Schizosaccharomyces pombe: one gene and its partner. Changing the gene in region 1 together with any one later gene gives a genetic interaction. Each region holds a gene or a part of one and is shown in the gene's direction. Other genes may lie near its edges.

Region 1 (5,377 bases):
CGGTTCTAGTAAAATCGGTTTTCAAAGCTCCTGTACCAGAATAAGAAAGACTAATGTAATCTGCATTATCAGACCAAATGTTGCAAAAAATGTTATCAAGAGGAATGACGGAACGAAGGGGATGGGTAGCACCTATAATTCCGCATTTACGAAGTTGATTCGTAAGCACCCAGCGACCTATACAGCTTTGGACCACATTGGTTCTATCAAGACAATCCATGCAGTTGGAGCGTACAACGCCATTCTGACGAGATAAAACACGGTACTTTTGAGTGTCTAATGTAGTGTAGCCTTGCTCTTCTAACTCGGGTTGTATTTCATTTAAAAGGAGTGAAACCCGGTCCCACCTCATATGGCTACATTCTTTATGAAAGTCAAAATAATGATAATGGATATGGGGATTATCCAAACGACGTATAACATTTTCATATAACTGTTTAATAGGAAGCTCATGTCCTTTACAGTTGACCAAATTAACTACAACCTGGTCACCGTATATGGATATTTGCTCGTCGAAATGCTTTTTTGCAGCGGCTGCAGCCATTGAAGCAGAATTTGCAACCATCAATGGTTTATAGCGAAGATTATTAACCTCTGCCCAAAAAGCAGGAACACTACCGCGGGTCTGAACATGTGAATAAGTGACCTCTGACTTTTCGTCTGAAACGATAGTAATCTGCTCAGTTTCATTGAAGTTGGCGGGGTTTCCATTCTCGTCTAAACCTCTGGTAAAATATCTAGTACCGGCGCGTTGTTTAGAGCGTCGAGATATTAATGCTAACGTGATTGTTCGTCCCTTAACAATAGTGGAAGCAGAAGTGATGAAGCCGTAAATCATTGGCGTAATGAAAAGTGATACTTCAGAATGGGCACCGATAAGATCAATGAAATCTTTACTAGCAAACTCGTTCCAAAAAAATCGTTTATCACTTCGAAGAATAGGTGAGGCCTTTCCCTCATCCGTACAAGAACGTTGTAGGGAGTTAGTAAGGTCCCATGTGTACGAGAAGTAAAAAGGTCCTGTTTTCAAATGATTTTGTAACAAATTGTATAAATCCAATTCATCTTGATCGTCAGCTAGTAGGTTACGATAGGGAATAACTTCAAATTTATGAACACGATATATTTTATGTCCCAAAATTTGGGCTGCACTAGATTTTTCTGTAGCTAAAATAAGATATTTATCTTTTTTCAGCTTGATTGAACCAAACAATGTGACACTATTTTCTTTGCTGCGGGCAACTGGTTTCAACTCGTCCGGCTCAAAACTAACTGCACCACTTTCTCGGTCAATTGTTAAACAACAATCTTCTCGACGAAGCTTAAATTGCTTCTCGTTTGCTTCAAACTGAACCATGAAGAAATTTTCTAAAGTTTTTGTAGGATAGATACCAAGATCTGTGAAGTTGATGGTTGGTAGACGGCAGACAACGAACCTGCTTACTGCTGTACTGTAACATACGGTTTTCTATGCTAAGTCATGTGGTATTATCGTAGATAGAATAAATGACATTTTCACTATGATTTATCAATTACTAAATTTGCTAGTAAGTATCCATCCTCAATAAAATATTATACTACAATGATCATATTGAAGGTCGCTGAATTATTCCTAGGGTATCTGGTGTTTGTTTAAATATTGAGAATAAATATCTCATTGACATCTTAAAATGTAAAATAATTAACATGAATACTTTCAAAACTTAATTGCCGTACACATAACTGCTAACGCACTTTCACCTAAATATGGTAGATGCTCTTGGTCATGTTGTGCTAGCCTTGTAAATACAAATTTCTTCCACTACCATTTACCAACGGAGTTCCAAAGGACACTCTGAAGAGTGCTTTAGAAGAATAATACATATTTGTAATATTAATAGTAGATACTTTGATTATTCTTCACGTTGAAATCACTATACTACTGTGATCTTCGTTTTGTGGTTGAATCCTGAGGATTCACTCGTTCATCAAAATTTTCATTTTTGAAAAAAAGAGCGAAAACATAGTTGATTTATTCCATTGAAACCTTTTAAATTTTTTCTTTTATATTTTTTTCAAAAAAAGGATTACAATTATCTAGCTAATAGCCGACTTTGGCGATATTTTGGGTTTGATTTGGGAAATTGACTTTGGTGCAAAAAAATAATTTTTTCCATACATACTTCTGATTAGTTTCCTGTTCGTTCTTTCTTTTATTTAAATTTAATTAGCAACATGGATATTCATCGTTGTCGCTTTATCGACTATACCCCTTCAGCTATTACTGCAATGGCATTTTCCCATAAAAGCGGTCAGAATGATTCTATGCCTAACAATTTACTACTCGCTGTTGGACGTGCTAGCGGAAACATTGAAATATGGAACCCTCGAAACGATTGGTGCTTAAAAACTGTGTTATACGGTGGTGTAGATCGCAGTATTGAAGGGATTGTTTGGAGTACCGGTGAAGAGGAGCTACGATTATTCAGTATAGGATTTTCAACTACTATTACTGAATGGAATTTACATACTGGAAAACCATTGGTAAACCAAGACTCTAATGCAGGAGCTATTTGGTCAATCGCTATATGCGATGAAACTAAAACTCTAGCTGTTGGATGTGATGATGGAAGTTGCGTTCTATTTGACATTAGTGGTGGCCCAGGTGTCATCGAATTTAAACGAGTTTTGATGCGCCAAACGTCTCGTATCCTTTCGCTCGACTTTCAAACAAAAGATCATCTTGTTGGTGGTTGCGCTGACGGTGTTATCAAAGTTTGGGATCTTAGCACTCCAAATTCCGCTATAATTTCTAGAATGCAAGTAGATCGTGCTCGAAAAGGAGAAGCTGCTTTAATTTGGGCCGTGAAAAGTTTACGGGATGGCACTATCGTAAGTGCCGATTCATCAGGTGCTGTTAAATTTTGGAATGGAAAATTCTTTACATTAAGCCAATCGTTCAAACTACATTTGGCTGATGCTTTGTGTTTGGGTGTTTCTGCTAACGGAGATATGGTATTTTCTTCAGGGATTGACAGGAAAACTATTCAGTACTCACGCGAAGGAGGTAAAAGAGAATGGGTCAGCAACAGTTTTAGAAGGTTCCATTCTCATGATGTTCGATGTATGGCCGTTTTTGAATGTAAAAGTTTGGATGTTCTTATTAGCGGTGGTATGGATATGATGCTTGCGGTAATTCCTGTTCGACAATTTAATCGCAAGAATCACAGGATGATATCTGCCGTTCCTCAACGCCCTCGCATGGCGGTCGCACCGAAAGCAAGGCTTTTTATGTTATGGAATGATCATGAAGTACTTCTCTGGAGAATTGGGTCTCCTGGCTATAGGTTTTTATTAAAAATTGTGTTGGCTGACGAAGAAAATATTTCACATGCAGCAATTTCTCCTGATGGGGAATTAATTGCAATTTCTTCCGTTTTGAGGACGAAGCTTTATCAATTACAGTATAGCGATGAAAATGTGAAAGTTGAAACAGTTGAGGACTCCTTCCTTTCAAATATTGGTGCTAGCCTGCTTAGTTTTACTGTAGATAAGAACAAGCTTATCCTTGTTAGTAACGATTCCGAGATATTTCTCATTGAATTAAGTCGACTGGATTCTCGTCAGCTAGAAGTTTTCGAGTTATCACAACCCACTAGCAAGAAAATTGCTCCTCGTCAGCGAAGCAATGTAAGCAGCATGTGTGATGGTATTTGCAGTATAGCGGTATCTTCGGATGGAGATTATTTTGCTGTTGCGGACACAGTTGGAAATATTTTCTGCTACTCCTTGTCAAATTTAACATATTCAGAGTTACCACGAGTTAACACTTATGTTCGTGCAATGGCTTTTCGTCCAGATGTACGAGGCCGTTTAGCTGTTGCTACGGCGGGAAATCAAGTTTATGAGTTTGATGTTCAATCCCGTAAATTATCTGAATGGTCAAAAAACAATTCTACAAATATGCCCAAAGAATTTTCGCAACTTCTAGATAAGGCATTCGGAGCATTTTTCGACTCTAAACATCCGAGTCGATTCTGGATTTGGTCAGCCAACTGGGTTTCATTTTTCGATCTTAATCTTCAATTACCAGCGCCTCGCGCTGCCGGAAAACGTAAAATTGAAATGAATGCAACAGTTGACGGGAATCTGAATGACAAAAAATTGGCGAATGCTAATTCGAACGGCATTTCAAATTATGGAACAGGGGATTCTAGGTGTTTCTGGATTACTCACAAATATCGACCAATGCTACTTGTAGGCTCTGTAGGAAACTCTGAATTGCTGGTAGTCGAACGACCAATCGCCGATATGTTGATGAGTAAATCAATGCCAGCAAGCTTTTATGAGCACAAATTTGGCTCGTAAATATGTATTATGTATGAAGATGGAGGAGTTTCTTCGTACTAAAAAAAACGAAGAGGTTTTAATATGTCATTTTACGTAAAAAAAATGTCTGGAATAGGGTGGTATTATTATGATTTTGTACAAAAAGGTCTTTTATTATAGGAGTTTATTTTATTTTTATTTTTTCCGATAAAAAGCATAGATTAGTTGCTAGTTAGTTTATCAATAAAACATTTCAAGGTGACACACCCATCCACAATATGATTATGGCAATGTAGCTGTGAATTTCCAAAGTCTGAGTTGTTTATTCCCATTATCGATTGGAGCATTATGCCTGTAATATGGTTTCACTTGATTCTAGGCAGATAGGCGTACAATTTTACGAACCCAAATTTTTTGATTAATAGACTTAACACGGCGAACTAAAATTTAACCGAACGCTATTTTTGTTACACCACATAATTAGAAAATTACTCGCATGAGGATAATTAAAAATACTCTGGTAAAATTAAAATTATTGTAGAAGACAGCTTGTATTTAAAGAGTAGCAATTACCATCTACAACTTATAAAGAAAACATATTCAAAGTAACAGAATCTTACAAAGGATATATATGCAAATGAAACGAAGAAAGCTCATACATGAACCCGTCTACGTTTCTAAACTTGATTACATTTGATATATTCAAAATAAAATAAAGAAGTGAAATAAGTGATTGACGTAAAAAATTATTTTCTTGCCGATGAGATTATACATTCGTTTGTTTATTGAAATTTGTTCACAACTTAGATAAATCTGTTTAGTAGTACCAGTTTTATGTACCCCCATTTAGTTACTACGATCCCACTTAAAATGTAATACAAACTGTCAGTACTAACCAGAAGAAGGACAATAGTACTAACGACTTAGACCCCCCACTTTGGTACAAAAACACCACCTGAATCAACAGCATGTAAAGTAGAAGTCATAGATTAGAAGCATGAGAACATTTCGTAGTGAAAATAAAACATTGCGTTGAGAAGCAATCTCGTTCAACTACCAAACATTTTTT
Region 2 (4,503 bases), on another chromosome or scaffold:
AACTCCTTCTTCTAATCACATGTTAGTGACTTTGAGCCTCTAAAAACTGAGAAATCCTCCTTTACAAACCTTTTGAAAAAACCAGCCCATGTTAATAAATTAATAACGTCTAACCTTTCAACGACTCACTTGACAATGAATAATTTTTGCTTATGGTTAGGAGAGTCGCAAGTGCTCGTTTCTATGAGAAGCTCTATCCAAATCACGGTTTTGCATCGTGCTATGAAATAACGTTATTAAGTATTACATTATACTTGTTTGCGAATTTTATCGAGTTGTGCTATTTGAAACTATGAGCGCAATCGATTTGCAGCGCGGCCTTACCGAGGGAATCTTACAAAGTGACTTTTGGACGAAAGTTGTGATTTTGCTATTTTGGTCAGATGAAGTAGATTTTTAATTGATTTTGCTAGAAAAAAAAAACCATTGGCTTCACATTTTGAACAACGCTCAGCCTTGAATGATGGCGACTGCAATCATAATAGAGAAGTAAATCAACAAATCTATTCCTTCAAAGGGTACTAAAGCAAAAATGTGAATATTTTTAAATCAGGTATAGGCTTTCACTGCATATTCGCTTTTTTTTTTTTTGTTTCTCTTTTGTATTGCGACAACTTTAGTGAATCGCTTGAAGTAATATTCTGATACACTTATGGGTTTGCTTCTTTAAAATACGATTCTTTTTGCTTTTTGAAATATTTTAATATCACAATCTATTAAATTTTTTAAAATTTTGATCATTTATACGATTATGAACTTTCATGAATCGCACCAACCTTCGTATTCCCGTGTTAGAGATTCAGCGTTCATCAAGAAATTTTCAACTTTCTCTTCAAAACAGAATGGTTAGTATGCCTTTTTATAAAATTCTACACATCCTAGTCATTTACATGTTATTGTTTTAGTACATGCTTATGCAAACGAAAAGAATTGCTTAACCGACTTTTGTTTACCTTATTGCACCTAGCCGATAGCTTAATAATCTAACGAAGCTTAAAAATATTCGACATTAATAATTTCTTTGGTAAAAATTTTATTTGCATGTGTGCGAATGCGAAATTTCAGGATTATATACTAATACCAACATGCTGGAAATTCTTTAAACGCTATCGAAAAACTAACTTAATATAAAATTTTATATCCAAATAGGTCACTTAAAATCTTGCCAAATCGGAGCTTTCTGTCTTACAATAGTTTAAGATATTTTAATTCCATTCATTGAATTCGAAAATCTATTAACATTAGAAAAGAATCGCTTACATGCCATTCTTTTATATTAACAAATCCTTTACAAAAGCCAGTGTAAATAGATGATGATTCATTGAAACTGCTGAATACTTAACATTGCACACGACGCTATTACGCAACGCGTAAAACAAGATAATGTGTAAGCTACGAAGTTTGGTATCTGATTTAAGGATACGTAGAGCTACGGTGAGTTTTCCTTGTGATCTATTATATTACAATACACAGGTTGTATAAGTAGCAACTGAGTATAGGTATTGTATTAACTGGGTTATAATGTTACCTATCACTAATATAGCTCATAACTGAACTGAGGAACGAGATTCAGCAGTAGCTCTATTTATAGTATTCAGATAATATTGATCTTAATAGATTATCATTAAGATCAATCTCCATATCGTATCATACATGGTACGATATATAATTAGAACATGTGACATATAGTGATACACAACGTAGTGTATCATAGCGTAGTGTAGTATTGCTGACATAATGTATGATTTGTGTCGCTATCATAATTTGTTGGTAGATTACTCTCATTGTGTGCATATAGCAATTCATCAAATGCAAGTAGCTTTATTTGTGTTTGATAAAAAAAATGCCATTTGTAATTTCACGATTATGATGCTCATCTTTCATGCTGAATGTATTCATCGTGGATAGCGACTCTAGTACTCTTTGCTGCATATCGTTACTTAAAATACTGTATGTTAACAATATTTCTATCAACGAATAACAAATTTGCGTTATGCGATGCAATTTACTATGTTTGCTGTCCAGTCATGGCAGATATATCATATCGTTTACACGTACAATATCACTCACACCCAAGTATTGGTCTTTCTACAGCCTACTCTTTGTTGTAGTTTAGGAGGAGACTCTCTCTATATATATTTTTTAAAAGAACGTGTATCTGTATGCTACGCTTCTCATATATTTATCAAAGAATTGTTTAAGTTCATCGCTAGATTCTCTCAATCCAACTTTCCTACCATGTTAACCAGAAGTGTGCTGAGAAAAGCACCTCGCGCTTTTTCTCCCTTTTTACAAAAAAGAAATCTAGCTTTACATGAATATATTTCTCATGATATTCTCAGAAAGTTTGGTGTGGACGTTCCTCGTGGTGCTCCTGCTCGGAGCGGTGAAGAGGCAGAAAAGGTTGCTCGTGATCTTAAAGTCACAGATTTGGTAGTTAAAGCTCAAGTTCTAGCAGGCGGTCGTGGAAAGGGCCAATTTGACAGTGGCCTGCGTGGAGGAGTACGGCCTGTTTATGATGCTACAGAAGCGAGAATGTTTGCTGAACAAATGATCGGTCATAAGTTAATTACCAGACAAACTGGTCCTGCTGGAAAGATTTGCAATGTTGTCTATGTTTGCGAGAGGAAGTTTATTCGTAAAGAGTATTACTTCGCTATTTTAATGGATCGTGAGAACCAATGCCCCATGATAGTCGCCTCCGACCAAGGAGGTGTTGACATTGAGACTGTAGCAGCTGAAAATCCTAGCGCTATCATCAAACGATCTCTTCCCAACAGTCCAAATCTTGACCCTCATATCGCAGAAGAACTTGTTGACAAACTCGGCTTTTCCTCTTCTAGCAAGCCAAAGGCCGTTGACGCAATCGTCAAACTTTACAAAGTATTCAATGATTGTGATGCTACACAAGTAGAGATTAATCCCCTTGCTGAAACTACTGATCACAAGGTGTTGTGCATGGATGCTAAGCTGAACTTTGACGATAATGCCGAATTTCGTCATTCCAACATTTTCGTTTTGCGGGACATTTCTCAAGAAGATCCTGATGAGGCTAGGGCTGCCAAGGTTGGGTTGAACTTTATCAAATTGGACGGTAACATTGGTTGTTTGGTCAATGGTGCTGGTCTCGCAATGGCCACTATGGATATCATCAAACTTCATGGTGGTGAACCTGCTAATTTCCTTGATGTCGGTGGTAATGCTAATGCTGAAGCAATTCGTGAGGCATTCTCTCTCATCACTAATGATCCCAAAACTACTGCTATCTTTGTGAACATTTTTGGAGGTATTGTTCGATGCGACGTTATTGCCAAAGGTCTTATCTCGGTAGTATCAGCGTTGAATCTGAACATACCTATTATTTGCAGACTTCAAGGAACCAACCAAGGTGCTGCCAAAGAGGTAATCAACAACTCAGGTCTCCGTATTTTCTCATTTGATGATCTTGATGAAGCAGCTAAGAAGGCTTGTCGTTTCAGTCGCGTTGTCGAAATGGCACGTGAAGCCGATGTGAATGTTAGCTTCGAGCTACCTTTGTAGGCTGCTAATTTTAACGGCTTTAATGTATAATTGTTTACAACCCCCTTTTCTTATTATCATTACGACATACGGCATCATGGAATGATTTTATATAATGACTTGTGTATATAGAATTCTTAGCACAGCTGTTTACCATGTCTTAAAGAAATGGTTTGTTATTTTTCTTCTTTATATATTTTATACACATTTACAGTTATATAGTAGCATAGTTGAACATCGCGATCGTAAACTCGTGTATTTGATACTATACCGATCGACGAGTGCACTTCTTAACAATCCGACGTTTTCTATTTTAGGGGAAATGTTAAATTGTAATAGTTCTACTATGCTCTTAAATTAATGCAATTTTGAATTTTGTTTCCAAAAATAAAACAAATGTTTTCTTTAATGTTCATTAATATATAAACGTTATTACATAGATAATTCATAACTAGTTTTTTAAAACGAGTAGCTTGTTCTCAAATCGAGCAACCTTTCGAATGATCTTCTGTATTCCCAACCGATTTCTGTTGTCGGCTCTAATTTTGCGTTGGAACAGGTGAACTAGATCCTTAATAGAAATGGGACCAGCTCTTAAAGCCTTCATTACCTCTGCCTCCGTAATCAGATTAGAATCTAAAAGCACGTTAATAAATTTTCTGGTAAATGTAAAACTTTAGCATACCATCAATTGGAACATTTGTAGTATCTCCCACAACCTCCACTTGATCTCCTACACTCGTTTCTGTAGACCCCATGCTAGGGACCATACGGGGAAAGTCATTGGCAAACCGTGATAACTTTTCACTTGATAAGCGGAGAATTATATATCCAGGTTTGTTAATAAGTTGTTCTTGAGGCCTTATTTGAATAGAAGTATTAGGTGATTGTAGTTGCGATGAAGCTTTGACAGGAGATACGCTGCTTGGCGTTCGTTCTAGTGGTCTTGGTGTATTAGTTTTGGAAGCGTTCGCAGAAAATCTA

The links.
Region 2: mutations in utp4 (region 1) and lsc2 together harm fitness more than expected from each alone (negative genetic interaction), as found in Schizosaccharomyces pombe (one large-scale study listed by BioGRID).

The regions. Positions count from the first base shown.
Region 1 is NC_003423.3:3,702,712-3,708,088, reverse strand, and holds utp4 (U3 snoRNP protein Utp4), read left to right. Parts: upstream 1-1,803; 5' UTR 1,804-2,214; coding exon 2,215-4,347; 3' UTR 4,348-4,633; downstream 4,634-5,377. Other genes in the region: sac11 (inositol polyphosphate phosphatase), read right to left, coding at 1-1,357. UniProt on the Schizosaccharomyces pombe protein: Involved in nucleolar processing of pre-18S ribosomal RNA. Required for optimal pre-ribosomal RNA transcription by RNA polymerase I together with a subset of U3 proteins required for transcription (t-UTPs).
Region 2 is NC_003421.2:2,157,361-2,161,863, forward strand, and holds lsc2 (succinate-CoA ligase beta subunit Lsc2), read left to right. Parts: upstream 1-2,068; 5' UTR 2,069-2,238; coding exon 2,239-3,540; 3' UTR 3,541-3,935; downstream 3,936-4,503. Other genes in the region: lnp1 (protein lunapark), read right to left, coding at 1-11, 70-90; transcription factor TFIIF complex alpha subunit Tfg1, read right to left, coding at 3,971-4,155, 4,205-4,503.